6 linked regions of the Coturnix japonica genome follow. The protein of the gene in region 1 interacts with the protein of each later gene in a pairwise test. Links are inferred from orthologs where the notes say so. Each region holds a gene or a part of one and is shown in the gene's direction. Other genes may lie near its edges.

The links.
Region 2: the proteins of RBM17 (region 1) and SAT1 interact in binary tests that used the Homo sapiens proteins (3 or more experiments, as listed by UniProt). The two-hybrid records come from large-scale screens. The link is inferred for Coturnix japonica from reciprocal best matches to the Homo sapiens genes RBM17 and SAT1.
Region 3: the proteins of RBM17 (region 1) and U2SURP interact in binary tests that used the Homo sapiens proteins (3 or more experiments, as listed by UniProt). The link is inferred for Coturnix japonica from reciprocal best matches to the Homo sapiens genes RBM17 and U2SURP.
Region 4: the proteins of RBM17 (region 1) and DHX15 interact in binary tests that used the Homo sapiens proteins (3 or more experiments, as listed by UniProt). The link is inferred for Coturnix japonica from reciprocal best matches to the Homo sapiens genes RBM17 and DHX15.
Region 5: the proteins of RBM17 (region 1) and GOLGA2 interact in binary tests that used the Homo sapiens proteins (3 or more experiments, as listed by UniProt). The two-hybrid records come from large-scale screens. The link is inferred for Coturnix japonica from reciprocal best matches to the Homo sapiens genes RBM17 and GOLGA2.
Region 6: the proteins of RBM17 (region 1) and QRICH1 interact in binary tests that used the Homo sapiens proteins (3 or more experiments, as listed by UniProt). The two-hybrid records come from large-scale screens. The link is inferred for Coturnix japonica from reciprocal best matches to the Homo sapiens genes RBM17 and QRICH1.

What each region holds. Positions count from the first base shown.
Region 1 is NC_029516.1:3,122,402-3,127,240, forward strand, and holds part of RBM17 (splicing factor 45), read left to right. Parts: intron 1-964; coding exon 965-1,081; intron 1,082-1,536; coding exon 1,537-1,703; intron 1,704-3,138; coding exon 3,139-3,236; intron 3,237-3,936; coding exon 3,937-3,993; intron 3,994-4,839. UniProt on the Homo sapiens protein: Splice factor that binds to the single-stranded 3'AG at the exon/intron border and promotes its utilization in the second catalytic step. Involved in the regulation of alternative splicing and the utilization of cryptic splice sites.
Region 2 is NC_029516.1:107,414,146-107,419,524, forward strand, and holds SAT1 (diamine acetyltransferase 1), read left to right. Parts: upstream 1-1,979; 5' UTR 1,980-2,193; coding exon 2,194-2,259; intron 2,260-2,456; coding exon 2,457-2,676; intron 2,677-3,819; coding exon 3,820-3,921; intron 3,922-4,030; coding exon 4,031-4,071; intron 4,072-4,345; coding exon 4,346-4,516; 3' UTR 4,517-4,842; downstream 4,843-5,379. UniProt on the Homo sapiens protein: Enzyme which catalyzes the acetylation of polyamines. Substrate specificity: norspermidine = spermidine >> spermine > N(1)-acetylspermine. This highly regulated enzyme allows a fine attenuation of the intracellular concentration of polyamines.
Region 3 is NC_029524.1:9,009,813-9,014,651, forward strand, and holds part of U2SURP (U2 snRNP-associated SURP motif-containing protein), read left to right. Parts: intron 1-1,840; coding exon 1,841-1,908; intron 1,909-3,137; coding exon 3,138-3,232; intron 3,233-3,314; coding exon 3,315-3,350; intron 3,351-3,438; coding exon 3,439-3,521; intron 3,522-3,968; coding exon 3,969-4,134; intron 4,135-4,640; coding exon 4,641-4,839.
Region 4 is NC_029519.1:66,707,995-66,713,548, forward strand, and holds the start of DHX15 (pre-mRNA-splicing factor ATP-dependent RNA helicase DHX15), read left to right. Parts: upstream 1-1,849; 5' UTR 1,850-1,973; coding exon 1,974-2,038; intron 2,039-5,554.
Region 5 is NC_029532.1:3,749,485-3,754,323, forward strand, and holds part of GOLGA2 (golgin subfamily A member 2), read left to right. Parts: intron 1-128; coding exon 129-475; intron 476-938; coding exon 939-1,052; intron 1,053-1,360; coding exon 1,361-1,585; intron 1,586-1,795; coding exon 1,796-1,895; intron 1,896-1,987; coding exon 1,988-2,076; intron 2,077-2,655; coding exon 2,656-2,809; intron 2,810-2,940; coding exon 2,941-3,008; intron 3,009-3,569; coding exon 3,570-3,672; intron 3,673-3,866; coding exon 3,867-3,973; intron 3,974-4,157; coding exon 4,158-4,326; intron 4,327-4,425; coding exon 4,426-4,676; 3' UTR 4,677-4,839. UniProt on the Homo sapiens protein: Peripheral membrane component of the cis-Golgi stack that acts as a membrane skeleton that maintains the structure of the Golgi apparatus, and as a vesicle thether that facilitates vesicle fusion to the Golgi membrane.
Region 6 is NC_029527.1:9,125,500-9,130,338, forward strand, and holds part of QRICH1 (glutamine-rich protein 1), read left to right. Parts: intron 1-1,782; coding exon 1,783-2,112; intron 2,113-4,839. UniProt on the Homo sapiens protein: Transcriptional regulator that acts as a mediator of the integrated stress response (ISR) through transcriptional control of protein homeostasis under conditions of ER stress.

The sequences.
Region 1 (4,839 bases):
GTTCAAGGCCAGGTTGGTCTTATACATCTGCATCATTTTATGCTTTCTGTTTAAAGGGCCTTAGGTGCCAGAGTACAAATCATTGTGCATTAGGAATACTTAGAGAAACCGTGTGTACATGGAAGGTAAAAGTAGTGCAATTCCTTGAGCTTAAGCTATAATAGCCATTTTCTGCTCTATTTATTGTGACAATATTTCACCTCGTGCCTTTACACAGTACTGTTATTCTGTTTTGATTCTTTCAGGATGTGTGTACATTCTTTATGATCCATAAGGTCTAGAGTGAGATTACTTAGATACTGCTACAGATGATTACTGAGACATGGCATTTATTCATTGGAATTGGTGCTGATTTACACTGCTAAAATTGACAGCAGGGTTTTTTGCTGTTGGTTGGAGCAACGTGCATGAATGAAATTGGAGATGGCTGCTGTGTTAGGCCTTTTCTTTGTCTGTATGTGTGCAAATACCCAGGCTGGATGTGGCTCTGGGCAGCTTCATCTGGTTGCCCAAGGAGGTTGTGGATGCCCCATCCCTGGAGGCATTGAAGGCCAGGCTGGATGTGGCTCTGGGAACCCAGGTCTGGTAGTTGGTGACCCTGCACATAGCAGGGGAGTTGAAACTGGATGATCATTGTGGGTCCTTTTCAACCCAGGTCATTGATTCTATGGAATAGAATAACAGTAATAGAAGAATATAATAAGTTTGAAAAATGGATCAATAATATTTTGCTAGATGGTAAAACATGTCTTTAGAGCAGGTTGAAGACCCTTCTTAGGAAAAAATCTTCTAAGTTCAACCTGAAGAGATCCCCTGTGCTTTTAATGTGTGCTTTGCATCCAAGCGCAGAGCATTCACCTATCGCTGTGTGTTTCAGTGCATGCACAAACAAAGTCTGATCTCTCTTCCTTAAAAAGAGGAAAGTGTGCTATTTTAGATACTTTATATTTTGGCTGTTTTTCAGAGTCAGAGAACCAAACAAACAACAGTACTTGCTCCAGTGATTGACCTGAAACGAGGTAGTTCTTCTGATGAGAGACAGATCGTGGACACACCGCCTCATGTAGCAGCTGGGTTAAAGGTAAGAACAAAACAGGCTCCATCTGTTAACAGATGTTTCTGAATTGGAATACTTTGACAGCCATCTCTACTTGATTTTTAAATGGTCTTTCCAAGTGCTAAAAGAACTGATTTGTTTTCCAGAATTGGAACCTCAGCTCAGAGGTTCTTAAATTAATGAGCATTTCAGCTTTTTACACACTTCCATGTGATACAACTTGGAAGCATCCTGATGAGTTAAAAGCTGGACAGCTTCAAAATACTTTGCAAAATGGTCGGGTAAATAACAAAGGTAGATGCAATGCACCAGTGTATAATGATAGGAATAATCATCACAGTGATACTGTTGTGGAACCTTTGGAGGTCGTCTGGTCCAACAGCACTATTCAAGCAGGGATACACCAAACACGTTGCCCAGGACTATGATTCTATAATCTTAGCTGACAAACATCACTGTTCTCCTTTTTCTCTTTCAAGGATCCCGTACCTAGTGGTTTTTCTGCAGGAGATGTATTGATTCCTTTGGCAGATGAGTATGATCCTATGTTTCCAAATGATTATGAAAAAGTGGTGAAGCGGCAAAGAGAGGAACGACAGAGGCAGCGTGAGCTGGAGAGGCAAAAGGAAATTGAAGAGAGAGAAAAGTAAGGCTTTTGTTTTAAGTGTGGCATATTGGCAGTGAGGTAAATAATAGGCTGTTAAATATACATCTCTTTGGTTTTATCCCCCTGAAGAGATACAGGGAATTTCTTTGGGTTTAGCAAATAATATTATTTTAGAGTGTTTGTTGTCAATGTAGTTTGACATTAGAAATGCTTATCAGCATTCAAAGATAAATATTCTCCCTTTTTACATACTTCACACTGGCCTGTGAATTCATTTCAGTTTTAAAGCATAGTGAGCACTGCCTTTATGAAGCATAGTTGCCTATTACTTCCTTCCTTCCAGTACCTGAAAAGTTCTTACAGTGAGAGCGGGGCAGGTCTCTTCTCACTAGTGGGGAAATGGCCTCATGTTGCACCAGGGCAAGTTTAGGTTGGATACTAGGAAGAACTTCTTTACAGAAAGGGTAGTTAGGTACTGGAATAGGCTCCCCAGGGAGGTGGTTGAATCGCCATCCCTGGTTGTGTTTAAGAGCCGTTTGGATGTGGTGCTCAGGGATATGATTTAGTGGAGGGTGTTTAGAGTTAGGGTACTGGTTAGGCTGTGGTTGGACTTGATGATCTTNGTTTAAGAGCCATTTGGATGTGGTGCTCGGGGATATGATTTAGTGGAGGGTTTTTAGAGTTAGGGTACTAGTTAGGCTGCGGTTGGACTTGATGATCTTCAAGGTCTTTTCCAACCTGGGTAATTCTATGATTCATGTTTTGCCTTCAGTTTAAGCACATTATGTATTTATCTCTCTTGTCTCTGGACAAAAGAATATTAATTTTTAAGTACTTTGGTGCTTTTTCCATGGAATAAGAAATCCCTTTAATCTTATTAAAGGTCTTGAATGCAGATTTAGCATCCTATTGAAATAGGTGGTAAAACATCTGCCAGGCAACAAGATTACAGTTGGTTATTCTAAGTGAAACTGGTAAGCAGTTTCATTGTACAGACACATGAAGTCTGTGGAATTACGCTGTTTAAGCATGAAGACTGTTTTCTTTTAAAACTGACTGATTAATCATTGCTTCAGATAGCCTTTGGTGGGGAATTTTAATGGGAATCTGTTCAATGCAGGATGATTAATTAACAGTTCTGCTACCTTCCTGATGTAGTCTTTCATTCAGTGTCATCAGTTTGGGCTAGATTTATTCATAGGCTTCCTCATTTCCATACTTTGTTTTCGATTGGTTTGCAAATGGAAAATGATTTGAATTCATTTCCTGTTTAAAAATAGGATAAAAGCAAACAACAACAACAAAAAAAAACACTAGAAGTAAGGGTGTTTACTTACATTTTCATAGAAAGCACATGATAAATTGCTAATTCAACTGGCCAAATGCCATGTAATTCGCATGGCAAAGGTAGTGTCATGAGTTAAAGCGGAGCTGACTTGGATTGTTTCTTATCCTGACTTGCTGTGTCTCCTAGAAGACGTAAAGACAGGCATGAAGCCAGTGGGTTTTCGAGAAGACCGGATCCAGATTCTGATGAAGATGAAGATTACGAAAGAGAGAGAAGAAAAAGAAGTAAGGGAGCTATTTATTAGTAGGAGGAAGAAACACAGGGACAATGACGATATGGTCACTGTCCTGGTTTGATGTATTTTGTGTTTCTCTTTTCTCAGCTGGGAAGCATACTGTTAACATTGGAGCCTCTAGAATAAACCCATTGTTTTATTACATTGTAGCTTTTTTAATACAGTATTTTTTCCTATGGTGGAAGCTGTCATCTTGATTATTTGTGGCTTTCCACTGGTTTGTCAGTACCTATTTTAACTTTATGCCTGGTGTGGATTCCAGGAGAAAAGGGAAGCATGGGATAAAATGAAGCCATGAGAATCACCATTGAGCTTTCACTATTGGTGCTTTACCAAATTGGTGACTACCTTAAAATGCTGCATATTAAAATGGGGAGGGGGCTTTGTACTGTACTCCTGTGTAAGTGTAGTTAAGCTTGAGCGGAGTATTGGCTTAATTGAACTGTTTTAGAACTGAAGGTTTGCTTCCCTTGTAGCCTTAAACTTTGCAATTCTATGCAATATGTTGACTCTAGAAACAACATGTGGTACATGATTGCAGTATAATCTTCTTTGGTGGGCTTTTCATTCAGATTGCTCACTCTCTTGCTGCTGCTTTTGGAGCCAGCAGCTGTGTTAAACCTCAGTGCGGCTATTCCAAGCAGCAGAACCTAGTCACACAAACATGCTCTTTTCTGTTTTACTCACAGGTATGGGAGGAGCTGCAATTGCACCACCCACTTCTCTGGTTGAGAAGGACAAAGAACGTAAGTACACCAAAATCCTGTCCTCTGAAAGCAGTAATATTGCTTAATTCTCACTCAGCATTCTATTCAGTGAGGTCATCCTGCTGTTCTTTCCATGTGGTTCTTTCTTGCCCAGTGGCCTGTTCTGGTTGTTTGTTGACCTCAGGGAGGTTGTGGGGAACCTGTAATATTACTGTTTCCTGTCTCTGTTACAAAGGATTCTTTCTGTATAGCTGGAGATGTGGTTTAACAGGCTGCTCTGTTGTAACCGTGCCCAGTTACTCATTTGTGGTGTAAAAAAAGTGATGTTGAAGACAGGTGGATGAAAAACTTCAATGGTATGAAGAGAGAATTCTCCCATCGCCCTTTGCGTTCAGAGGTGCTTTATGAATGACTCCTCTAAAGCAGTCATGCAATGCAAACACAACTTTTAAAATCTTTGAGGGATACCCAAAGAACACTCAGAAAAATCCTCTTAAGCAAATATCATCTGTGTGTGAAAACTGAAGCTTTGAAGGTCTTACTTTGGAGACAAAAGATAAGTTCATATTTCCACTTTACTGCTAATAGATAATGCAGGTGATACCTGTTGAAGAATTATGTGTGCAGAAGGGTTGTCCTCAATGAGTTCGGGTTGAAGATCGCACTATTCCACTAGGTGGCAGAATCGTGCTGTAAGAACAGAATGCTAAGGGTTCTTTTTATATGTCCGGTTTTTAAATGACACAATGTGCTGTTCATTGTTTTTCGTCCTTAAAAGTAATAGTGCACATAAGGGACCTTCCAGATTTTATTTGAAAGAAGATTAAAATAAAATAATGGAAGCTTGGCGGTGTAAGTGAATGTTATAATAGTGAAAGCATTTGA
Region 2 (5,379 bases), about 100 Mb from region 1:
CCTCTGGAAATCATCAGGAACTGAAGTATCAGTTTCTGCTACATCAAGAGTGACATCAGCAACACTGAGAAACCCATTTGGCGGAATGCATCCCTGCCCACAGCAGGGGGGGGGGTGGAACTAGATGATCCTTAGGGTCCCTTCCGACTTACTGGGTGAGTCATTCTGTGATGCTAAGATGACGTGAAACATTCTTAAAGCCTCTTTTTTAAACATGCTTGCCATTACACTGAAAAAAATACCAATGGTAATATATAAGTAAAGAATTACATCACAAGCTCTGAGATATCTTAAGTATGAGTGGGGTTTTCTTATGGGGGGAAGGAAGGTTGATGGGCTGATTTATTCTGTGCTTCTTATTGGCTCATAAAAGATTCTTTTGAGGCTAGGAGTTCTCCAGGTATTTTATTCTTGTGCATTGTGAGTTTGAAATCTAACTCCAATTGGTTCTAACTTCTAAAATCACAGACTCTTCTGACTTGAAAGTGAAAGAAATCAGCCACTTTCTGCTCTTACATAACAGCATTTTCTAATAGCGTGACTTCCTCATTGTGAAATAAGAAACAGCTGAGACAATTCACGTACTCTTTTTGATAGAGACAGTGTTCCCCATTGCTGATCCCAGAGAGATTACATCTAGGAGCTGAAACGATGTCTATTGATGAAATGCATTGTAGTTAGGCTGGACCTGGTTTTGGTAGCTGAGAAGGCTGAGAGGGGATCTCATAACTGTTTATAAATACCTAAAGTGTGAGAGTCATGTTGATGGGGCAAACTCTTTTTGGTAGTGAGCAGCAATAGAACAAGGGGCAATGCAGCTGGAACTCAAAGAGTTCTGTACTAACATGAGGAAGATCACAGAATCACAGAATTGTAGGGGTTGGAAGGGACCTCTAGAGATCATCGAGTCCAACCCCCCTGCCAAAGCAGGCTCCCTACACCACGTCACACAGGTAGGCATCCAGGCGGGTCTTGAATATCTCCAGAGAAGGAGACTCCACCACCTCCCTGGGCAGCCTGTTCCAGTGCTCCGTCACCCTCACTGTAAAGAAGTTCACTTCGTCACTGTGAGGATGATAGAGCCCTGGGACTGGCTGCTCAGAGAGCCTGTGGAGTTTGTTCTCTGGAGAGATTCAAGGCCCCTGTGGATGCCTTCCTGTGCAACCTGCTATAGGGTTGGACTCCATGATCTCCAGAGTTCCCTTCCAACCCCTACAGTTCTGTGATTATGTGATTTTGTGACTGCCACTTCCTGGTTTTTATATGCATCTGTTCTCTGGACAGCTCCATATTTGTTCTAATGGAGGCTAAACTGGATTTAGGGTGAATTTAAGATGTTAGAGCCTTCCAGGGCTCTAAGCATGTGCCAGATGGTTTTCTTGACCAAACCTGGACACCAGAATACACTTCTCCATCCAATCCTTGGGCAGTATCATGTTCCATACTGGTCCCTGTGTCTAAATGAAGGTGAAACTTCAGCATAGGAAGTTCCACATGAATGTGAGAAATAATTTGTTTACAGTGAGGGTGACGGAGCACTGGAACAGGCTGCCCATGGAGGTGGTGGAGTCTCCTTTTCTGGAGATATTCAAGACCCGCCTGGACGCCTACCTGTGTGACGTGGTGTAGGGAGCCTGCTCTGGCAGGGGGGTTGGACTCAATGATCTCTAGAGGTCCCTTCCAACCCCTACAATTCTGTGAACTTCTTAAGCCATGGTGTGCACTGGAAAACGGTGTGAGTGGCACAGCCGCCCCGAGCCTCACATACAGCAGGGGGGGCCTGTCCTGCTGCGCCTCCCGCCTCCGCCAGAGGGCGCCATGGCGGCCGGCAGTCACGAGACACCGGCGGCAGCTGTTGCTGGCAGGGCGAGGCAAGATTCCGGGGAGGGGCGCTACCATTGGCTGGGGGCGAGAGCTGCGGGCACTCCCATTGGCTGTCGTGCGGGGAGAGGCGGAGCGCGGTCATCTATAAATGGAGGCGGAGGATGCGCAGCCGGCGCAGTTGGCGTTGGATCGGGGTTGTTGTCGGGTGGGAGCCGTCTGCTTGCCGAGCGCCGCCGGGACATGCTCGCAGCCTGACTGACCGCAGGTGGCCGCCGCGCCCGGGACACGAATGAAGAAACAGCTGCTCCTCCTGTTCACACACCGGGGACTCGTCAGCCGAGGGGGCCGCAGGGGGAAACGCCGTCGAAAATGGCTTCGTTCAGTATCCGCGCCGCGCGTCCCGAGGACTGCTCAGACCTGCTGCGACTGATCAAGGTGCGGGACGCCAACGTTAGGCCAAGAGGGATGGGGTGGGGGGGGGTGGGATGGGATGGGGGGGGGGGAGAGAAGGAAAGGCGGCCGAACCCGGGGAAGGCGCAAACAGGGCGTTGCGCAAGGCCGAGGGGGGGAGGGAAGGAGGGAGGAGGGGTGATGGGCCCGGGGGAGGCGGCTGACGTGTTGTGCCGTTCCAGGAACTAGCCAAGTACGAGGACATGGAGGATCAAGTGGTGCTAACCGAGAAAGGTAGGCTTGCAGCGACTGCCCGCCCTGCTGCGGCTCGGTGCCGCCGCCCGCATCTGAAGGGTCCCGTTTGTTTTGCTCTCGTAGAGCTGCTGGAGGATGGATTCGGTGAGCACCCGTTCTACCACTGCCTCGTTGCGGAGGTGCCCAAAGAGCAGTGGTCGGCTGAAGGTGAGATATTGCGCCGCTCGTTTGTTCTTTTTACATAAGAGATGCCTTGTGCTTATTGTGACCTACCTGACTTGAGGTTCCAGCGAGGAGTCGGGGCAGGAGGAACAGGCTAAGCTTAAAAATGGCGATAACGTAGAGCCGTGCTGTTGTGAAGTAGTTGCTAACCTCGGAGATGCTGGATGATCAGGTGTAACAATGTACTTAATGCCAAGTAATTAAATGGCTTTTCTTGTTTGACCCTAACTTAACCTTATGTAATCCTGTTGAATCACATGTTTTCTTTAATTTGTCCCCAATCTTCAGGTTACAGTCTCTAGCTTCGCCATGTACATGGCCCTTCTGTGTACATGGATGGGCGGGGAGGTAACTAAAAGATCCGTTACACAATAAAGTAGATGATCATAATATGAGGTAAGGTCTACAGGGACAAGTGCTATTCCCAAACCTTTACCAAAGACACAGTAGATCAGAAGTTATTGCACGCTTCCTTTAGAGTATGTGCAGAGTATGATGGTAGACATTGCGATTTTCAAGGCTTAGATTTGAATATGTTATTGCAGGAAGAGCTGGTTTCTCTTCCCTGTTGAGTGGTGCAGCTGTACTTGAAGCTGCAGTTCTATGTAGCTTGATTTGTTGGTGCTGAATTCAAAACAGCACAATACAATCAGTGTGCACATATGTCAGCGTATCAGAAATGTATCAGAATGTACCAGTTGTCTTTGAGCATGTCTTCTCTCTACTGAGCAATACATTGGAAGATGAACCTTCTGTAGAGCTTTGTAGCTTGTCGGGGTTGCCAAGCAAGGCAGTGTTGGGGCGGTTACCTAGGCCTTGGACTGCTCTGTATTGCTTTGTATTCCAGAAGGGAAGTGCTGATAAATCAGTAGGGTATGTATTAGTAGAAATAAAGCCTTTTTGTTCACTGCTTATTATAACATTGCTCTTGAGCGTTTCAGGGTGTGAAGAGGGCAGTCTTCCGTTAGGTTGATGCCAGTTTATACTGACGTTTCCAGTTGTGCTTCATTCTTATTCTAACCTTATAGCAAACGGCTGCATGTCACTATCTGTATATTTAAATATGCATGTAAGACTTAATGCAAATCGGTAGCTTCAGACCAGCTAAAGCTGCGTGCTTTGTTTCAGGGCACAGCATCGTGGGCTTTGCTATGTATTACTTCACTTACGATCCATGGATTGGGAAGCTGTTGTATCTTGAAGATTTCTATGTGATGGCTGAATACAGAGGTAAGTACTATGGAATCAGACAAGCTGCTTCCTACAGAGCTACTTTAAAATTGAAATTGTCTTGCTGTTTTTTCCTTAAACTGTATATTTTTGTTGCTTTTTCCCTCAGGACTTGGCATTGGATCAGAAATCCTGAAGAATCTGAGTCAGGTATGTCTGAGTGTTAAGTCTAAATGAACAGCACTGGGGATGCATGATGGAGCAGTAGTCTTGATTTTCTGTTAGCTGCAATCAAGTTTCTCCTTGAGCACTACACAGGATTAGCATTGATGAGTTACTAAAAGAGAAATGACAGAGCTCCAGGCAGCCTTAACCACTGCCTAGAGGCTGAACTGAGAGATAAAGTGAACATCATGACTCGGAGCAATCTGCAGCTGGTGCTGCTTAGCATCAGACCCGCTGACCTGTGTTTGCGTTCCTGCAGGTTGCTGTCAAGTGCCGCTGCAGCAGCATGCACTTCCTAGTGGCAGAGTGGAACGAGCCCTCCATCAGGTTCTACAAGAGAAGGGGCGCCTCCGATCTGTCCACTGAAGAGGGCTGGAGGCTCTTCAAAATCGACAAGGAGTATCTGTTGAAGATGGCAACGGAAGAGTAGTGAGAGAAGATTCCAGCAACTAAACTCTTGCAATGAATATACGCGCTCTCTGAATAAACCCCTTCTTGCTTTCTGTGTTGGTAGTGGAATAAAATAGAGTGGATGGTAGTACTGTGCAACCATGGTCATAGAGTAATTGGTACCGTCAGCTGGAGCGGAGGCATCTCAAGTTGAATACGTGCTTGTATCCATCCTTTTACCAGTGTGAACTTGTAATCTTTGTATATGGAAACTTCATTCTTGTAAGTGGCATTCAAATGTGTACAATGTACACACTGGTAGGGTTTGTTTTATTTCCTTTTATAAAATAAATAGTTTTCACTCAATGGCCGTAGTCTGACTCTTAATTCTCATGTGTTGCCTTTTATTTGGGTGATGCCACTTGCGTCACACAAGCACTTTCACAAGCAAAGGGGTGATGTTCTGCAATGGCTGGACATTAGGTTGGATGTTAGGGGGAAGTTCTTCACTAGAAGAGTGGTTAGGCCCTGGAACAGGCTGCCCAGGGAGGTTGTGGATGCCCCGTCCTTGGAGGTGTTCAAGACCAGGTTGGACGGGGCCCTGGGCAACCTGATCTAGTAAAGGTGTATGTTTAGTGGCCCTGCCAGGCAGGGGGGTTGGAACTACATGATCCTTGAGGTCCCTTCCAACCCAGGTCATTCTGTCTTTCTGTGACATCTCCACAGCCTCCACGCAGAGGCTGATTCCTGGTAGAGCAGATTAAGTATGTCTTTAGTTTCAAACTAACAGCTCATTAGATATGTAGGACAGAACTGTTTCAGTGTCCAGCCCTGCTCCTGCAGAACAATGGAGCTATCAAAGCAGCATGGCTGAATGCAACAAGCTTACTAATTAAGTGCTGT
Region 3 (4,839 bases), on another chromosome or scaffold:
CCTCCAGTGTTGTATGTCTTCACTGTATTCCAGCTAGTAACGAATACAGATTTGGTGATTGTCTTAAAGTAACAATCTCCAGTCTGGAGGATTTGTGAAGTTTTAGAAGCAATTCTTCTTGTTACCGTTCTGTTATGTGTTTTGTACCTTAAAAAAAAACAAAAAAAAAACAAAAAACAAAAAAAACCCAAAAACTAACAAACAAACAAAACCACCCCAAAAACAAGAAATGAAACCCACACAAACCAACCAAACAAGACAACGCCTTTGCATTGATCCAAATTCTTCTTGGGTCATTTTTAAAGGACAGTTGTTTGTTTTGGGTGGTAATATTAGAACAGTTCCCTCCAGCTCTTTAAGTTCTACTAAATGAATACATTTTAGAGCTTGAGAGTTTCTGAAACTGAACAGCATGGTTTTTGTTTAATTTATTTTGACCATTGCATGGTTGGATGCACTTTCTGATTCTTAAACTCAGATTTTTGTTATAATAATTACTGGAATTTTTATGAACAGCCTTAGTTCTCAAGTCAGGTGATAGTTATGTATGACTATTGTATATGTGCAATCTGTATTCAATGTCTTGGAAGTCTTTAAAAGTGCTTACTACAATTTTTTAACTTAGCTTAAAACAATGTGATACTGCCTACCAGGATGGGAAATGAGGTAGAAGGTGGTAATTGTGAATAATCCCATCCTAACTTTCCTCCAGCTTTAAGCAAACCTCAAACCTTGAATAGTGAGATGATGCTGGATGGCAGTGCTGATTTTCATCATATGTAAAGCTCTACAGTACCAGGAATGAATTATGTTTGTTTTTTTAACCACTTGGAGCTCTGTTGTCATATGCAAGTATTTGTACTGTAAGAATATTGCTGCTTTTCAAATTTGTCATAAATACTTATCAGATAATGCAATCAGTTTACTCACTTGCCCTGTCCAATGGTGATTGAAGATAATGAGGTAAAAATGATTTTATTTATTTGGCAGACACTCCCCAAAAACAAACAAAAACAAACAACTTTGCCTGGGGTGAGTAGGAAGTCCAGTTTTTCCAAAGCTGTAGTGTGTAACACAAATATTTTGTATGTCTGCCTATTGGAAACGTTTTCATTTAAATTTGGTTATTTAAAAGCGATGTTGTAGAAGGATTCACGTGAGTTAGTTAAGGTGCATAAAGTGCAGTTAAAAAAAATAAATAAAATCCATTTTCTTTGTCATTCAGTCATTTTTCTGAGGTTCTTTTATTTACAGTAACTCTTCAGACTCTTCAGACTTGTATTTGTATCTGAAGGGAAATAAGGGATGGCAATTCCTTTCAAGTAGAATGTTTGCCTGTGGATAAAATATTTGAATATACATATATACACATGTGAATTATTACTGTATATTTGTGTGTATATATGTGTGTGTATTCTCAAAAAACAAGTGCACACGTATCAATTTAATTGGAGCGTGAAGGTTTGTTAGGGCAGTTAGCGGTTTTGTCATACATTTTAAAGTGGACCAAACTGACAAAACACACCACAGGTATCTTAAATTTGTGTGTTGTAGAGAAAGTGTTGGATCACGTACGCTGTACTGTAGTCATCAGAAGTAGTAAAGTTTAGTTCAAGCTATCCTTAATTTTACATTTGATAGCTGTGTTTGGTAGCAGTCATTTTTAATGTTTTCAAGTCTGTTTTCTTTTATTTTTCTCCTGTAGTTTACTTGGTTTGAAAGCTGAGGGTAAAAATGCATGGAAATTATCTAAATTTCTGTTACGTACATACCATTTCCATTTTTTTTGTGTGTGTCATTGCACCTGCTCAAATGTTGGCTGATATTTCTTTAATTTTAGCCTTTGAAGAAAGGAGAGAAGGAAAAGAAAAAGAGCAATCTGGAACTTTTTAAAGAAGAATTAAAGCAGTAAGTTTCCTTGATTGTTACTGTAAATAAGACACATAGTACATCTACTTTGTTTCTATAGGCAGTATTTTGAATCTTTCTTGCTAAGCTCTTCCCCAAAGTCTCTCTGCTCCCAGCCCCTTTTGTTAGCATTGGCAATCAGACTTTTAAATGGAGCGTGAAGTTTTGTTGGTAGATGCTTGGTACAGGTCCACGTGGTTTGGGTGGATAATCCCATCTAATCAGCATTCTGGTGTCCTTGATGCTCCTGTCTTTCACTGTGCTGATTGGTACTAAGAAGAGTTTACCACTACTGCTGAAAAGTATTTCTATTTTGGAATCGGAGACTTTAAAAATGATCGGTGAACAAGCACTGAAGTATGCTGGTCAACATGAGTGGATTTCTTTCCATGCCAGAAGTGTTTGTCTGACCTTTGAGGTTTTGTACTGCTTCCCTAACCAGAAGAATATCCAGAGCAGTTAAAGACTAAAAACAAACAAACAAACCCCAAAACTCACAACAAAAAGAAACAGTATATATCAGAGACCAGAATAAATGTATTGCTGTTATGTTTCTAGAGCTACTTGAAGATTATTTTTGGTTTAGTTAATGTGAATTTCACAATTTGAAGAGTTAATCATGACACTTCCCTCCCCCCTTGCCTGGTTCCCTTCCTTTTTCTTGCGAAGCTCTTCCCCAAAGTCTCTCTCTACTCCCAGCCTCTTCTGTTAATGAACCAAAAATTGGAAGGCAGAGAGATACCAAATAGTAGTTACTTGTGTGTGGGCTTTCATCAGAGGTATAAATAGAGGGTCTTGTGTGTACTGGGGATGTTCAGATGTTACCCTGCAAGGTAACAGCTATGTGAATAATAACTACAAAAAGTAGAACGATGCTGAGAGTTGTGTGCATCTGGAAAAGTTAATGGATCTCTGTCCAATATGCAATTCAGGTCACTCTGTCAGAGCACAGTTTTTATTTCTAGTCTTGGAAACTGCTTCTCAAACTTTTTCTTTTTTTGAGGTAAAAATAACCTGACAGTATGAATGAGGAATGCAGCTGGAATTATTCTGGTGGTTCTACCCCACCTGATTCAACTAAAATGAAAGCATACTGGCAATTTCACATTTTTTTTTAACAAGTCCATTGTTCAATAAGCGCTAAAGATTCTCCTATTGCAAAAAATGATACTTCAAAGTAGACACATTAAAATGTTAAGGTTGTTGCTTACTTTCAACTTGTTTTGTAGGATACAAGAAGAGCGTGATGAAAGACATAAAACAAAAGGTAGATTGAGCCGTTTTGAGCCCCCCCAGTCGGATTCAGATGGTCAGCGTCGTTCAAGTGAGTTGATGTTGCCTTTACGTTTGTTCAATCTACAAAACATTTCTTGACTAAATACGTATTTTTTTATTTATTTATTCAGTGGATGCGCCTTCAAGAAGAAACAGATCATCTGGTGGTAATATAGATTCTTTTCTCATTCAATGTAATGCCACTTAAATGCATAGTAAGGGTTGTAACTTTTATTTTCTTCTCCATTACTCTAGTACTGGATGATTATGCACCAGGGTCACATGATGTTGGGGATCCAAGCACAACAAATTTGTACCTGGGAAACATTAATCCTCAAGTAAGTTTGGAGCTATCCGGTGAAGTGCAGTATTAGCGTGTTTGGGCCCAGCTGAAATTCTGGCAGTAGCTTTTTTCAGTAGCATATTTTAATACACATGTATAAAGTAGAGTTAGCAACTGTAGAAGCAGTATTCATTTGGAAACAGATATGCTGAATGTGATGCTGAAATAGTTAAGGTTAAAAATATCACTTACTGGATGTAAAAATGCTGAACAGAAATAATTTTTCTATGGATGTTCCTTCTGAGAGGAGTTATCTCAGAAATTTGATTGTGCTTAATTTAGAATTCAGCCTCTCTATTATTGTTTTATAGCAGATTTAATTGATGAGGAATTGATTAAGTGTTCTCCATGAAATCAAAATCTCCACATTTGTATAGTAATATGAACAAATATCTTAGAACTACTGCTGCAGGAGGCTAATTTTTACTTCTGTTTCATTTAGATGAATGAAGAGATGTTATGTCAAGAATTCGGGCGCTTTGGACCACTAGCGAGTGTTAAAATTATGTGGCCAAGAACTGATGAAGAAAGAGCAAGAGAAAGAAACTGTGGCTTTGTTGCATTTATGAACAGGAGAGATGCTGAAAGAGCTTTAAAGAATTTAAATGGTAAACAGATTTTTCAGTTAGGGGTCATAATTATCTGCAGTGCATTTTGAGAATAAATATGACTAGCATACAGGAAATAGTTCTTAGTAACTGATGATAATTAGGTCCTTTTTCTTTTCTAATTTCTAGTACTAAAGAGGTAACTTAGTATACCACCTGTATGGGCTATTTTGTCTATCTTCAGTTGAGGGGGGTGAGGGGGGAAGGGAAAAAGTATCTTAAGTGTTAAGGAAAGCTATGTCCTCATAGGTAAGGAAGAGTCAAAAATCCAAAATCTACATCTTGGACAAAATTAATAGAAAATGAAAGGATGTTGTTTTCTAGCTTATGCAGACTGCTTGTACTCTTCTACAACCACTGCTAAGTAAATTACAGTATGTAGGAGTTAATCAACAACTTCAGCAGAAAATAAACCATGGCAGGGAAGCCTAACTATTGCACTTACACAGGAGAATTTGGTTCAGTGCAGAATCAGTTCCTAACAACTGTGTTTTTATCTTTTGCAGGCAAGATGATTATGTCCTTTGAAATGAAGCTAGGCTGGGGCAAAGCTGTGCCTATACCACCACACCCAATATACATTCCACCTTCAATGATGGAGCATACCCTCCCGCCTCCTCCATCAGGTCTGCCTTTTAATGCCCAGCCTAGGGAGAGGTTGAAGAATCCCAATGCTCCAATGTTACCCCCACCAAAAAACAAGGA
Region 4 (5,554 bases), on another chromosome or scaffold:
TGTGTAGCTACCCTCTGGGAATGTAGTGCTTTGTACGCTGCCTTGGAGAAAATAAGCTTGATATTTGGCATGTAGAGAGAAACCCGTAACATTTAACCCCTGGCAAACTGTGACACAGATTTTTCCAGAGTTTTTTTGTAATATAACTTGGAAAATTACTTCCAGTTTTGCATGAAAAGCTCAAAGTCCAGAATTTCTGGAATGTTTATTTCAGTTATCACTTCAAGCAGAAAAAAATGGTATTCTTTATTGTAGTAGTGCCTAGAACTTGAGCTGAGGGTGTCGTTTTGTTGTATCGTTTAAAATAAAAAATGCTCTTCTACTAAATATACACTGATGGTTTGTCTTTGTGGAATGTTATAGCAGTTACACTGATGTAACTCTGGAAGAACATGAGGGTGTGGGTAAACACCTACTTCCTGAGCTGGCTGTGCCCGTGGAACAGGTCACTTGCTGCTAAGTGATTTTTTCTGACCATTTTCAGATTTGCTAGCTGAGCCAGTTGTGAGAATACTCTCTTGCCCTCAGAGTTACACAAGTTAACAACAAATTCTTATTCAAAACATCTGATCTAACCTAATTCCTTTGACCAAAGTGCTGGGGAGTGACCACTCCTCCAAGTAGCTAGGTGAAGGTTTTGGTAATCTCTGGCAGAAAGGCAGTGAGAACAGGCAGGGAGGATGACTTGGAAAACAATGTATTTTTTGTCAGGTGCACCTAGATGAAGAGATAGGAATGAAATGTACTGCCATAATATTAACCTGTCTTATCTGAGACATTAATTTAAACCACTACTGCAGCACTGAGAGAACATGAAATATACTGGGAAAGCAGGGAGGAACAGAGAAGAGAATGTCCAACAGTAGATAAGTATCAAGAAACATCCTTCTTGCCTTTCGAGAAGCTCTCAGAGATTGACTTTTATGAGCTATGCTGTATTATCAAGTGACTGTTTTGGAAAGCAAGGCAGCTGCTAAGACTTAATGATGGATGAGAGGAGAAACAGCTGAAGGATCTAGTTGTGAGAGCACGGGGGTCTGCCTAGAAATAATAGTGCTCATATCAGTGGTGAAATGATTAACATTACAAACGATTCACTTAGGACATCTCATTTAGGGACATCTTAATTGCCTGATTTTGTCTTCTCCTGCTCAGCCTCATCTCTGCTTACAGTCAGGGAACAAACACAGCTTGCATGGATGGTTAACCCAGTTCCTAGAAGGCGCTGGGGGAGGATGGAGATGAGGAACACAGTTCAGGACACAGAGACAACCCAAAAGGCAGGTTTGCTGGATCCAGTTTGAGCCATAGATTGCTGCTGGTACTGGCTGGAAATGTGAAATGCATCAGTACACAAGAAAGACCTGATAACTGTATTGAGAAAATGGCATTTTTAGCTCATGTGTCTCATTGCACTTCAGCAGTTGTTATGAAATACTAGTTTGTGTTCAAATCTAACGAACTTTGATGTAATAGTGGCAGCCGTGCCTGCTGGCGTTAGGAACACGGGCTTCCCTTGCACTAGCAATCCCAAATACATGAGTGTCATGTATTTGAATGAACGTCACCGATTTTCTCACTTCTGCTTCAGATGACTTGTGAAAGGTCGCGTTTTTCTACACACATGGGCGTCAGCAACGGCCCACAAAAACGACGTGCCAACATCATTCTGCTTTTAACTTCCACCGTGGAAATACTCCTGTGCTGGGGAGCAGAACGGACTGTGGAAAGCACCTTTGCCATCCGCTCCCGCCCGCCCCCACAGCGCTGTGGGCCGCAGCCGTTGTGAGGCGCGGGGCGGGGCGGCGCTCACTCCCATGCGCGGCAGCGGCTCGCTCAGCCCCGTCGCTTCCTTCCGGCCGCCATTTTAGTGGCTGCTCCTGGCCTCGCGGCGCCGCTGCCGTCGCTGCTGCTCTTGAAGCGCAAAGCGCGTTCCCTTGAACCCGGCCCCGCTGCACCCAGCGGCCCCCGCCATGTCCAAGCGCCACCGCTTAGATCTGGGCGACGATTACAGCTCCAGCAAGAAGCGCTCTGACGGGTACGAGGCAGCGCGGCCCGCGGCGGGCGGGAGGATGGGGGGGATCAGCGCCGCTCCCGTGATCGGCTGCTCGTTCTGGGCCCAGGCCGCTCCCCGCGGGATGGAGCCTCCGCCGTGCGGGGCGGCACGAAGGGATGGATGGATGGATGGGAGCGGCGAGGCCCGGGCGCGCTGCAGCGTGGGACTGGGCCCAGCTCGGCCTGGAGAGTGGGGGAGGCGGATGGCGGCGGGGAGGAGAAGGAGGGGCCGGGTTGTGCTGGGGGCGGTGGGGCGGCGCGGCTTTGTGTGCGGCCTGCCCGTACCTTCAACTCCGCATCTCCTTTTTGATGCGCTTGTGTCGTTTTCGTTTAGTGGCAAACGTGATCCAGGGGGTCAGCGTGAGGTACTGCGTCCTTAAGCGGGTGGGAGCGTTATTCCTTTGTTAGCTGCCTGCGCTGGGTACCCGGCTGGGGTTGTGCCTCATGTGAGGAGGCAGCGCCAGGTGGGGTTGGGGTGGGATGTCACGGTGGGAGTAGGTTTCTTTGTTTTGCGTTAGTTACTTTTAGGGCTCGATGCACCAGCTTTAGCAGCCTTCCATCAAGGTTAGTGGCGTGGGGGGTACACAAACAATGTGCCGTTGTTGTTTTAGTGCGGTCTCTTCATATTTTGTGTTCCCTGACGTTGGTTTGGGAGCAAAGGGCCTCAGAAGGCTCAGGAAGGCAGGGCTGTGTTTATCTGGCCTGCCCTTCTTGGGAAGCACAGAACCCATCCTGAATCCCATCCTGAATCAGCTCCTCCCTGAAGCCCAGCAGTGCTGTTTAGGTAAAAGTGTTGATCTGAGAAGAATCAGCACAGAATATTGCACCTCAAACCTCCATAGGTGCCGGGTTTGTGTCCCTTTGTCCTTCCCTCATCTGCCATTAAAACTTTACCAAGTCTGCCGTTAAAAGCTTTAAGTGGCACAGGACTAAGAGTCACTGTGGACTTGTTGAGTTTATTTCTTTGTCATAGTCCTTGAGATCTTAGTTCATCCAGCACAAGGCACACACTATTCATCCTAAGTTGTCCTGGCTTATGTAAGGGTCGGTAGGTTTTCCAGCCTACAGAAGGCTGCGATGCACAAGTTGTTACCAACATGTATATTCTTGTCCTATTCTGCACACTGTGGCTTTCTGCAGTGTAGTTGGTTTTGGAACTGGATTAAACTATATTAGCTCCTTGAATAGATACCACATCATGTATAGAATAGCATTGTACCTTGCCTTCAACGTGGGTCACCTGTCTACAATGTAAAATTATGTTGAGTTGTTGCTATGTTCTTTCTGAGGCCTGTATCAGTGTGTGTAACCCCACATGGCAGTCATGCTGTTGGTTTGCAGCTGTTCTTGCAGCCTTAGTGGCTTGACACCACTCGTTATCTTCCTGTCTTGAAGAATCCTCTGTGAAGACAAAACCTTTTGGGGAAGGTGTGGTTTAGAAGTTTTCTGTTACAGTGCTACTGTGCAAGTTGTATGTGTGCAATTTAAAACCCGATGGTTTTTTTTTCTAAGCACGCTTATCTTTGTTTGGTGTTGTGTAACATCACAGTTGCTGTGTTTGTGTGATGCATCGTTTTCACTGATTTTCTTAGGTAAAGAGCAGAAATGCCAATCTAACTGCTGCTGCTGCATCGACTGCCAACAACTATTGTTGCGTCTGCTTAGTAGTGGCAAAAATGCATGTATCAGTGATGTTAGTTTTGCTTAGACTTCTGTTGTGATGAATGGAACTGGAACAGGCTGCCCAGGGGGGTCGTGGAGTCTCCTTCTCTGCAGATATTCAAGTCCCACTTGGACGCCCACTTGTATGACCTGGTGTAGGGGAACCTGCTTTGGTGGGGGGTTGGACTCGATCTCTAGAGATCCTTCCAACCCCTACAATTCTGTGATTCTGTGAATGTTGGTTTAACCTTATTTCTTTTCCATTTGCAGTTTTCTGTGCTTTTATGTCCTCTAAGTCAGTGATTTATTTTTTTCACCTTTTTTTTTTTTTTTCCATCTATTTGTATGGGTGGGCATAAGGAGTTCAGGTAGCAAACCAGGCAACCTCACATGAGAACAGAAATCCAACTAATAAATATAAATGCCCAACAAAACCCACCGTTGCCACCAACCTCTTCCCATTTATGAAGATTGTTGTGGACTTTATGCACGAGACAAATGTTATTAAGTTTTGATTCTTTTTGTTGTTTGTTTTAGGGTTTATGGTCAGGCTGTTAAGTGCAGAGATGAGGAGCGACTTAAATGTGACATTCCATTAATGAAGAACTGCCAAGTTGTGTTTCCAGAGATTTTAGTGTTATCATTTGGCAGTGTAACCATCACTCTACCTGTCCCTTGTTTTGATGCAAGGTACCTGGTGTGCCTCATAGATTTCAGTGGTAGTGGAAGGCTGACAGACATGTTCTTAGGAAAGTAATGCTGTTGTAGAAAGATTAATATTGATGATTAGATTTAAGGTCTGTTTTTTCTGTGCTGACGTCTGATTCCCCTCTTTTATACTGTTCTTAACCATTTTTGGAACTGAAAATCAACTCTCTTGGTTGACCTTTAAGTCAGCTTTTTGACTTCTGAAATGTAGGTAGAACTTGATCGGTTCCTTTTCTGTTATGACTGAAGAGTTAATGAGATAACAGTCACTGGGGAGTAACAGTTCCAGTTTGGTTCCCACTTGCTGTCCATTTAATTTACGTTAGCTAGAAGTTTGCTTATTACTTTAGCACTTCTAGTTCAAAAGTTTTGCAGATAAAAATGCCATTTTTTTTTTTTAAACTTGTAGTTGTTTAAAATGTAATCTAAAAAATGGAATTTATTGGTAAAGTGGGACTCTCTTCAAAGTGCCAAATCACAGTAAGGTTTGGAGTTTTATTGGAACTGTGTGGCTGTATTTCTTTGGTAAATCTGGGGGTTTCTTGGTGAGTGTATCAGGGTTCAGTAGGGGAAGCAAAATTGTGTGTGGAGACGGGTACACAGATCTTAGTAATCTGAAACTGCCACAAAGACTGAGGTGAGATGCAATTTTGAGCATACAACAAAAATAATCCTATTTCTCTGCACTTGCAATATAATTATTTCTTGGACTTTATGGTTAGAAGAAAGTATACTTCACATCTCTGATAAAAGTAGTGGACCAGTCCAAGATTGGTTGGTGTTTAATGCCAGTTATTTGCCATTGACTTGTTCTGGTATTGCTGCTTTGATTTTAACTTTGTAGATTATCTTAGTTTAGAGAAAATGGAGTAGATTTATAACTTGAAGTAATAAGTTTTTTCCTTATGGATGTTCTTAAGTTTGTATTTCTTCATGTTGAAGATGTGGAATAGTTCAGGTAATAGAGATTTTCACAAATTGTGCAGATATAGCAATGTCTGAGGTTTGGTAACAGGATGGGACAAATAGGAGTGCACACATACTGTTGTTGAAGCAGGTGGTAGGAGGCGATACTGGAGAAAACACCATAACTTACTAGTTTTAACTCTAAGTTTCTAACTCAGCAATC
Region 5 (4,839 bases), on another chromosome or scaffold:
GATACTGCAGCTGCTGATACTTTCTGGGTCACCGAGTCCTGCAGGTTGGGGTATGTTCTGCATAGCTCTGTGCGCTACCCAAGTGATTCAGCCCTCTGACTGATCTGCTTTTGATTCCCTTTCCTCAGCAGTGAAACCCATGGATGTTGAGCCATCTTTACCAGCAGGACCTACAGCAGCTGAGCTGAGTCTGCAGGAAGAGATCCAGCGGCTACAGCACGAGAAGGAGGAACTGCATGGACAATACCAGGCCCAGGTCCGTGACAACGAGCAGCTGAGCCGCCTCAACCAGGAGCAGGAGGAGCGGCTGCTGGAGCTTGAGAAGACAGTACAGCGCTACAATGAAGAGTCTGTGGACAGACAGCAGATCCTGGAGAGCATGCAGAGTGACAAGGCCACCATCAGCAGGGCACTGAGCCAGAATCGGGAGCTGAAGGAGCAGCTGGCTGAGCTGCAGAATGGGTTTGTCAAATTGGTACGTCTCTTTGATGGATCTGAAATTCCTGAAGCTGAATTCTTACTCTTGCTTCTTTCAATGTACCAGTTTCCCCTTTGGGGTCCTGGCACATAACACACGATCTGGTCACTGGGTTGTTTTTTTTTTTCTCAGGTCTTTCTGAACTTGTCTTCTTGGTTTTGAAGATCTGTTGCTTTATTTGGGGTGTTCATGTCACCCATCTGCTTTGGATCTGACAGGCTGTGTGATGTGCCAGGCCTCTTCTTGGCACTGTCCCAGCACTGATCCCCCCCACTGCTCTTCTCCCATCTCCTCAGCCTTTTAAAAAGTCAATTACTGCCCTTATTTACAGCTCAGAACAACACAAGGGATGGTATCCCACTGTATCAGGAATTAATGTGGTTTACTGATTTAGCTTATGTGAGCAAATACTTATGGTGATTGGGGCAGTTTCCTTCTATGATGCTTTTGATTCTTGCAGACAAATGAAAACATGGAGGTTACAAGTGCCCTGCAGTCAGAGCAACACGTAAAGAAGGAGCTGGCTAAGAAGATTGGGCAGCTGCAGGAGAACCTGGGGGAGCTCAAAGAGACGGTAAGCAACAGCAGAGGGACAGCAGGGCAGGTGTGCAACAGTTTGTGCACAGGAGAGCTGGCAACTTACCAAACTTTGATGGAAAGATGGAAATTGGTATTGTTAATGATCAAGCTGGGAGCCCTCCCGTGTCACCTGCTGTCTGATGCGGGGGACCAGCATGTGGGGACAGATGGTGGCTGCCGGCCTCGGTGGTGGCTTTGGGGCAGCATTGACAGTTTGGATGGTGCCACACGAGTTGTCATCTTTTTCTGGCAGAAATGATTTGATCTGATGGTTGTTTCATGTGTTGTATCATGTGTTGTTAGCTGGAACTGAAAACACAGGAGGCTCGGGCTCTGCAGGAGCAGCGGGATCAGTTCTATGGCCACTTACAGCAGTACACTGTGGCATACCAGCAACTGGCTGCTGAGAAGGAGGAGCTGCAAAAGCAATACTTGCTTCAGACACAGCTAATGGACAGGCTGCAGCATGAGGAAGTTCAGGGGAAGGTGACAGTGGAAATGCACCTGAAGGAACTGCAGCAGACGAAGGTAATAAAAGAGGGGCAAGTGGAAAGACTGGAGGCAAAATGCTTAATTGCACCACATCCTGTGCAATAGAGGTGAATTAGAGACAAGTGATAATTGTGGCTATTTGTGTGCTTGTTTCTGTGGTGCTGTTGCTAGTGACTGTTTTCAGTTTGGTTTGTGCGGGTTTCGGTGAGGAGCTTTTCTCACTGACGTTCTGCTTCTGACTTGCAGGAAAGTCTGGAAGTTGTAGCAAAAGAAAACAAAGAGCTGCAGGCCCAGATCAGTCAGTTAGCAGCAGAGCTGGATGGCAGGATGCTGCACAGACTAGAAGGTGCGTAGCTGCAGCTGCCCTCCAGGGACGGGAGGTGGAACTGGGCTCTGAGGGGTATTTTCACCTCATTGTTCACCTCCCTTCCTTTCCAGGAGATGGAATTGAAAGTGAAGTGATGGCTGAAGAAGTGAAAAACCCTTCGTTTGTGATCCCAGAGAAGTTTGAAAGCCATGAAGAAATGGTGGGTCTCAATGGGTAGAAAAGCCTTTGTTCTCAGTTGTGAACAAATGTCTAGGAGAGGAGGCAGATTGAATTGCAGAGGTTCTGCAGTGTGTATTAAGTTGTTTACCAGCTGTGCTCCCCGCAGTTGAGGCACAGAGAACTGCTACAGTCCCCTTCACACAGCAGCAAAAGAACCAAGAGGATTTCTACAGTATGGTTGAAAAACAAGCTGGAAGTCCAGCAATGGTTAATTACAAAGACAAGCCAGCTGGCAGAGTGGCTCTAACTATTGTGATGATTGATGTTCTCCTCACTTTGGAAGGCAATTAGGAAGTGGTGTTGAACGTCACTAATTTGTTTTTGTAAGCGGAAAATACTGTGATCAAACAGTGGGAATTCAGGTTTCACCTGCAGAGAAGAAACGGTTTGTGCTACTTGACAAGACACGCAGTAGTTGCTGCCTGGGTTGGTCTGACGGGTTTCCTATCCATAAGTAAAATGGGGTTAATTTCTGTTATTCCCCTTACCATGAGATGCACAATTGATCACACTTCACACAGGACAATCACTAACGTGAGTCCTTTGCAATTCACTTCAGGTGACTTTCTTGACGTCTGCCATGTCCCAAGTGGAGAAGGAACGAGAAGAGATGAGGCAACAGTTGGCTGCTCAGAAGCAGCAGTGCAGAAACCTCCTGCAGCAAATAGCAGCTCTTCGGCAGGAGCAGCAGCGTAACATCACACTGAGTGAAGGTAAATCTTGGGTACAGTGTGAGTATGGAGATGTGCCCCAACCTGGCCCTGACCTCTGTGAAACAGTCCTATGGGTTTTGTGAACGAATCATGCTTAAGCAGGCACTGTCAACTACAAATGTCCTTTCCAGATTCCACTATGGGTAGTGTTCCAGTAGAGGTTCATGAGGCTTTAAAAACTGCCATGGAGAAACTACAGGTAAGCAAAGGGTCTCCTCTTTCTGCCCCTCTGCCTCACTTAGCTCAATTTGCACCCAGTGCCAGACTCTTGAATCACACACGTGTTGCAGGGGAATAAGTAGCAGCTGTTCCATGATAATAACCTAATTCCTAAGAAGTGGCTTTCCTCATGACTTGTCTCATCATAGCTGAGCTTCCCCTGCCCTGCCCAAAGACTGTAAGGGCCTAATGCCCATTCCTGGTCTCTTCCTAAAGAAGTAGATGAAAAATAGACAGACTTCACCGTGCTGAGACGAAGCAGATCTCTCCAAGATCTGCAGACTAAGTGTGACCACAGTTGTGCTGGCCCAGCAATGAGAAGGCACTTTGTTCCCTCAGTCCTTCTGCTTCCCAATATGCAGAGATGCTTTGCTCTGCCTTCTGTAGCTCTGTTCCTTTTTACTGCCAAATCAGAGTAGTTGTAAAGGCAGCACAATTTGTTCCCTGGGCTCAGACAGCTGTGAATGGAGGGTGCTGTCTTTAACACGGGTATTCCCATATGTGAGCAGCTGAGGTGACTCACACCAATTTTTGTGTCCAGGCCCGTTTCACAGATCTGATACAGGAGAAAGCTGATCTGAAGGAACGGCTGGAAGAGCTGGAACATCGCTGCATACAGCTGTCTGGGGAAACAGACACCATTGGTACGTTTATACAACACAACACAAACCTGGGCTTTGGGATCTGAGTCTGCCACATGCCGAATGGTTCAAGTCTTGCTACCTAGCTATGCTAGGCTTCCAATCCACAGCTGGATCTTCAGGCAGCATAGGTTTATGCTCACAGTATGGCTTGTACATCAATCTCACTTATTCCTTATGCTTCTCTTGTGTTCCAGGGGAATATATAGCATTATACCAGAGTCAAAGGGCTATCCTTAAACAGCGGCACCAGGAGAAAGAGGAGTACATCAGCAGGCTGGCTCAGGATAAGGAGGAGATGAAGGCAAGGAATCTCTTCTGTAGTACTACAGACACAGCATACACTTATAGGCAGGCCTGGGGGATACCTGCACAATGTAAACCTTCCTTTGTTGTTCTTGAGCTGGCTTTAATTTTGAAGTTTTAACAGTGGCAAAACAGCAAGCTGGATATGCACGCTGCTTAAGTTTTCCTTTGCTTTGGTGCAGGTAAAATTACTGGAACTGCAGGATTTAGTGATGCGTCTGGTCAAGGAAAGAAATGAATGGTACAGCAAGTATGTAGCAGCTGCTCAAAACCCAGAGCTGTTAGCAAGCCAGAATGAAAACGCACTGCCAGTGGAGAGGCGCATTGAACTGAACGCTACAGATGGAGAAGGTAAGCTGGAGGCAGAACAAGTTATATCAAATGGAATAACCCAAAGTCTCTGTGTGTGGATGGGAGGAGTTACCTGCCTGTCTTCTGTGTTCCTCACAGGGTTACGAGAAGTGAATTTAGCAGACGAAGCAGAGCAAGACGCTGCTGCTCTTCATCAATCCAGTTTCTACCCTATTGACACTAAAGCTGCTCAGCCAAGCCAAGAGGACCCTACAGCAAAGCAAATAATGCAGCTCCTCAGAGAAATCCAGAACCCTCAGGAGAGGTCGGGCTCCTTGCTGGAAAACCCCTGCATTCCATTCTTCTATCGTGCTGATGAGAATGACGAGGTCAAAATCATGGTGGTTTAAGTAGCACCAATTCTTATTTACGGAGATTTTCTATGAGCCTGCAAGGACTAAACTGACTTGTACGTGCCCATACTGCTGCTCAGCACCCTTGGTCAGAACAGTGATCTGCTGTAAAGATGGCAGGAAAGAGGGATTGCATCAGATGGAACTCAGCATCATTCCT
Region 6 (4,839 bases), on another chromosome or scaffold:
GCAGTCATTGGTCACCTGGAACGAGGTTGATGGGGAAGAAAAGGTGCAAAGCATCAGCTGAGCCACTTTAGTGGGAAAAGCTGAGCATTGAGCTTAGATGTGCTTAGCTTTTCCTTGAGTGACTCCTGGAGGAAACCTTGCTGAGTCAGCAACTGAGTGAGCAGCATTATTGGTTCTGTCACACACGCCTGAGAACTTGTCAGAGCAGAATGACTGACAGGTAGGAGAACTGTCTCTCTGTCCAGCTCTGGGCTCTATGGGAACTTCTGTTTGCTAATTTCTACGGAGTTGTTGTATTTAGCAAGTGAACACTGCTATCATCTGCTTTGTATCACTGAAAACTGGTACATGTTTTAAGTAGTAATTCCAGCAAGTTGCCTCACATTCCCTTACCTGTGGTGTTCATTCTTGTTCACGTGGGCCTGGTCAAACGTGCTATCTGTGAACCTCTCCATGTAAACAAAAGCTCAGTGTGTTTGGACTGCTGTCACGTAACAGCAGAGAGTGGTTAGAGATCACTGTAGCGCTTGCTGGTATTGGTGGGAGCTGGGCTTGGACTTGGCAGTGCGGTTACGCCACTGACAGCCTTGGACTTGCTCCCGTCTTCACACGGTTGTTGCAGTCTCCTGTTCAATCAAAAACCTCTGTCCTGGTTCCGCTTGGTTAAATCACTGTGAACTGTTGCTAAGGGTTCTGCTTTTCATACTTCTATTAAGTACTGCAGTCAATATGTGCATACAGTGATGTTGTCCCTTTTTCTACCTCTCCGCTGGTAATAACACATCTCCTCTCCTAGTCTGAATGCTGTGCTGTTTCATGTCTTTTCACAGCCATCTCAGCAGCTGGTGGTGTTAGAGCTCAAATCCATTTACCCTGTATCGGGACTAATGAGTACCTTAGAAACAAGCAGTATGCTCACTGCAGACAGAAACAATTTGTGGGTTTAAACAAGTTAAGTCAATAAGAGAAGAACGCTGCCAGTGTGTACCCTGGAGCTTTCTAATGTTCTCAGGTGTAGTCATCTTTTTTTTTCCTCCTTGCACTCACTCTCCCAAATCATCTGACTGCCGCTGTCCCTCTGCTGTCTTTAAATGTTTCTCGTTAATCTTTTCCTATATTAAAAAGGTAACAGGAACCGATGCTGCTGTTGGCTGCTTAATTTCCAGTGCTCTGCTTCTCCGTGTGCGTAGTTCTGTTTGAGGAATCTCTTGATTCCAGTGCTCTCCTTTCACTTGCTGTGTTCAGATCGATAGGTCTCTACTAGTTTTAATAGCAGAGGGCTGAATGCTGCGTCTGCTGCTCTTCTGTTCCGCTTCCTATTAGCTGTTTAGAGTAGAGCTGCATGGCCTGGCAGAACACCCTGCCTGGTTCTCCCACCTCCATGGCTGTGAAGCAGGGCCATGTGTATTGATTTCTGAACTTCTCTCGCTAGCGTTGCATGCTGCAAACGAATGAGATCTGTGATTTGATTTATTCTGTGATGAGACTCGCCTGGTCTGGGTGAGATATAATTCTGGAAGGTGTTACATGGCAGTGAGCTCTTTGAAATAGGTGTCATGATTGTACCTGGTGGCATTCTGACTTCCCTGAACTGCTGAGGGTTAATTTGTAGCGCTGCAAGGTGCCTTACAAAGCTAAAGCATCTGTCTCAGGGCATCTGGCCCTACATGTTTGCTGGATTTCATATGGTGCTCAGTATCAGAAGTTAGTCACTGGAGCTGGGAATATCCTTGCACCAGAGGAGCGCCGTAGTTAAGAGTTTTCACTTTCTCTTTCCTTAAGGAACCCTCAGGACCTTGCAATATGAATAATTCTCTGGAGAACACCATTTCCTTTGAAGAATACATCCGTGTGAAGGCACGAACGATCCCCCAGCACAGGATGAAGGAGTTCCTGGACTCCCTGGCTTCCAAGGGGCCGGAAGCTCTGCAGGAGTTTCAGCAGACAGCCACCACCACGATGGTGTACCAGCAGGGAGGCAACTGCATTTACACGGACAGCACAGAGGTGGCCGGGTCTTTGCTTGAACTTGCTTGCCCTGTGACAACCAGTGTCCAGCAGCAAACTCAGCAAGAGCAGCAGATACAGGTTCAGCAACCCCAGCAAGTCCAGGTAAGCATCTTAAATCATCTTTGGAGGTATATATGACTTGTTAACCTGCAGAATAGTGCTCAGAGCCAGCTACTGGCTAACCTGAAACCAGAGGCAGGCGCTTAAGAAGCAGGACCATTCAGCTTCATACAGAACAGTGTTTCCCTCTTGTTTAAGGAATTTGGTAGTAAATTTGTCTTGCTGAGCCTCCATTGAGCCCCGCTGTAGGAGGAGTAACATACATAGCAATGTAGTGGTGTAACCTATTTGAGAAATGGTTGACAGTTTTGGCATGTACACAGCTCCCCGAAGCCTTGCACTCTGTGAAGCAGCTATAAATACCCTTCCTCCTCTGCTGGTCTTGCTTTTTCTTGTTGTTTAGAGTGGCTGTGGGATCTCACTCTTTTTGCTTTTATTTTTTTGCTTATTTTTTTATGAAATCAGTACTCTTCCAATAATTTTACTTGAATGTTGTGGAAGCTGTAGTTCTCGAGCTGGCTTTTAAAGGTGGAGAGAAATGCACAGAAGTTGACGTAAGTTGTGAACCATAGGAAGATGCTTTTCGTGAAAGGTGTTCTAAAAGGAGCGTATATGTCATGGAAGTTGGCTTTTTTGCACAGTTGTAGGATTCTTCTGCAGCTCTTTTATCGGGTATTAAAATAATTTGTATTAATTATTAAATGAGAAAAATCAGACATCAAGAAAAATATGTAACTTTGAGGACCAGCTGCCTGGGTCCTCAAACACTCCTTAAAGAGCTCATAGGTGGTGGGGCGTTACCAAGGTTCTCTTAAGGTGCATCTCCAAATGGCTGAACTCTGGCTGTGGCTGTGATTTTGATACGCTTCAGATGGGAAGCTTTCTGACTTGTGCAGCCTGCATCTAAGGTTGTGAGCTTTCTTCTTTTGCAACAGATGAGGGTACCATTGCTGCGGTACAGACCTGTGCTAACATCTCACTTGTGCGCTCTTATCCTACCGTAAAGACAAACTTTCCTCTTTCATTGGGTAACTTGTCTCCAATTACTCTTTCTGTTGAGTAACTGAATGCTCAGCTAGGACTTCTGTAACCCATTGCCCTACAGTAACTTGTGACACAAGGCTTTTGAAGAATAAAAGCCTCTAGTCTCACAGATAGATGCCTTAGATCTCTGTGTGAGTCTATTAGAAGTGGTCAGGGGTGGCACTGGTTCTGTCTACTGTCACGTTTTGGGGGAGAAGTTTCATTTTTCAGTTCAGCAGAAGAATTCGTAGAAGGACTAGGGCTTTTTCAGTGCCTCAGCCTTGAAGATGTTAAAGGCCTCATACCAATCATAAAGTTGACAAGGAATATGTATGAATGCATGTGTTTCCTACTGCTGCCTCCTTCTGGAACTCTTCAGAGTTCAGGCTTGACCCTTGCAAGCCTCCTAGTAACAGAGATAGGGAGGGAGGTCAAATATCACGCGCTCCTGACCTTCTTGAAAATAACTATAGAGTTGCTGCCAGTTATGTTCCTGTTTTGTAAACCAAATGGCCTGCACCTTATGGAGAATGGAAAAAAAATCTTAACAAAAGTCAAGCTCTCAAAAAGCTTTTGTAAAATACATTGTGTACTTTTCTCCTTTGCCTTTGATGCAACTCTGCTTTAGTATACCTGCTTTCACATCTGTCAGTACAGACAGTAGTGTTTGTTTTGCCTTCTGTGCTTTGTGTTGGGGCTCTGGGGGTGACAGTGTTCCACCACAGCAGTGTGTTCTGATTCCTCTGTCTCACTTTGCTGTTTTATGATAATCTTTGGTCATCTTCTGAGATCTTAATCAAACTTAAATAATCCCAGTTCTTGACTTGATAATCCTTTTTAATTCTTGCTAATCCAATTGCAAATCAGTGAAGACCCTCTGAATGACTGCGCTTCTATCTGGCAGCGTGGCGGTGTTGCTGAAGGTGACTAATAATATCACAGGTCAGATGACCTCATGGCTGCAAGTGCTGATGACAGCCCTATGATCATAAGGATAGACAGTGCTCAGGTTTCATCCTCTGTCTTCATTGCTGAAGACAAAGACAGTGCATGACTGCTGCTGTTTTCATTTGTCCTGGCAAAATATGCTTTGAAGGAGAAATTGCCACTGTAGGGTTTTCTTGCCTAAAAGATCCAACAAACTGTTGCCTAACGTTTATTTCCAAGTAGATGGGACTGTTCCGTTAAGTTATATAGAAGTTGGTGCTACGGTGCAAGTGCCCTGGAGCTCCTTTCATGCTCAGTATCACAGTTAGGTGTTATGTCTTAATAAATGGTTTAGCATGTCAAGTTGTCAGACCCTGTGTAGTGTCAGGGGCTGCTCACTTGCAGTTGAGTAAGAGTTTTATCAGCTTAGATTCTGCTAGCTGATTTTTGGCCATTGAAGCTGCAGAACTGGTGACACCAGCAAGAAGAAATGTTAACACTGACTTCCTTAGAGAACACAGTATTTGTGCAGTAGTGAGCCCCTTCCTCCTTTCACTTCTCGTATTTACCTGCAGGATGTAGCTGGAAAGACATCAGTGAAGAGTCATTGTCTTGCAGGGTGAATTCAGTGCATGTAGGGAAGTTCATCTGTTCTAACCTGTCTTAGGACAGTCTGATTGCAAGGTTGCAGGAGCTCCTTGTGCTGGGGAAGAGGTGAGGATGGTACAGGTGAGCTAGGTTGCTGAACTAGATAGAGAATGATTAAATGACTGCGTAAACTGTGAAGGCTTGAGCCCTTCTAATTCCCCAGTTCTTTAT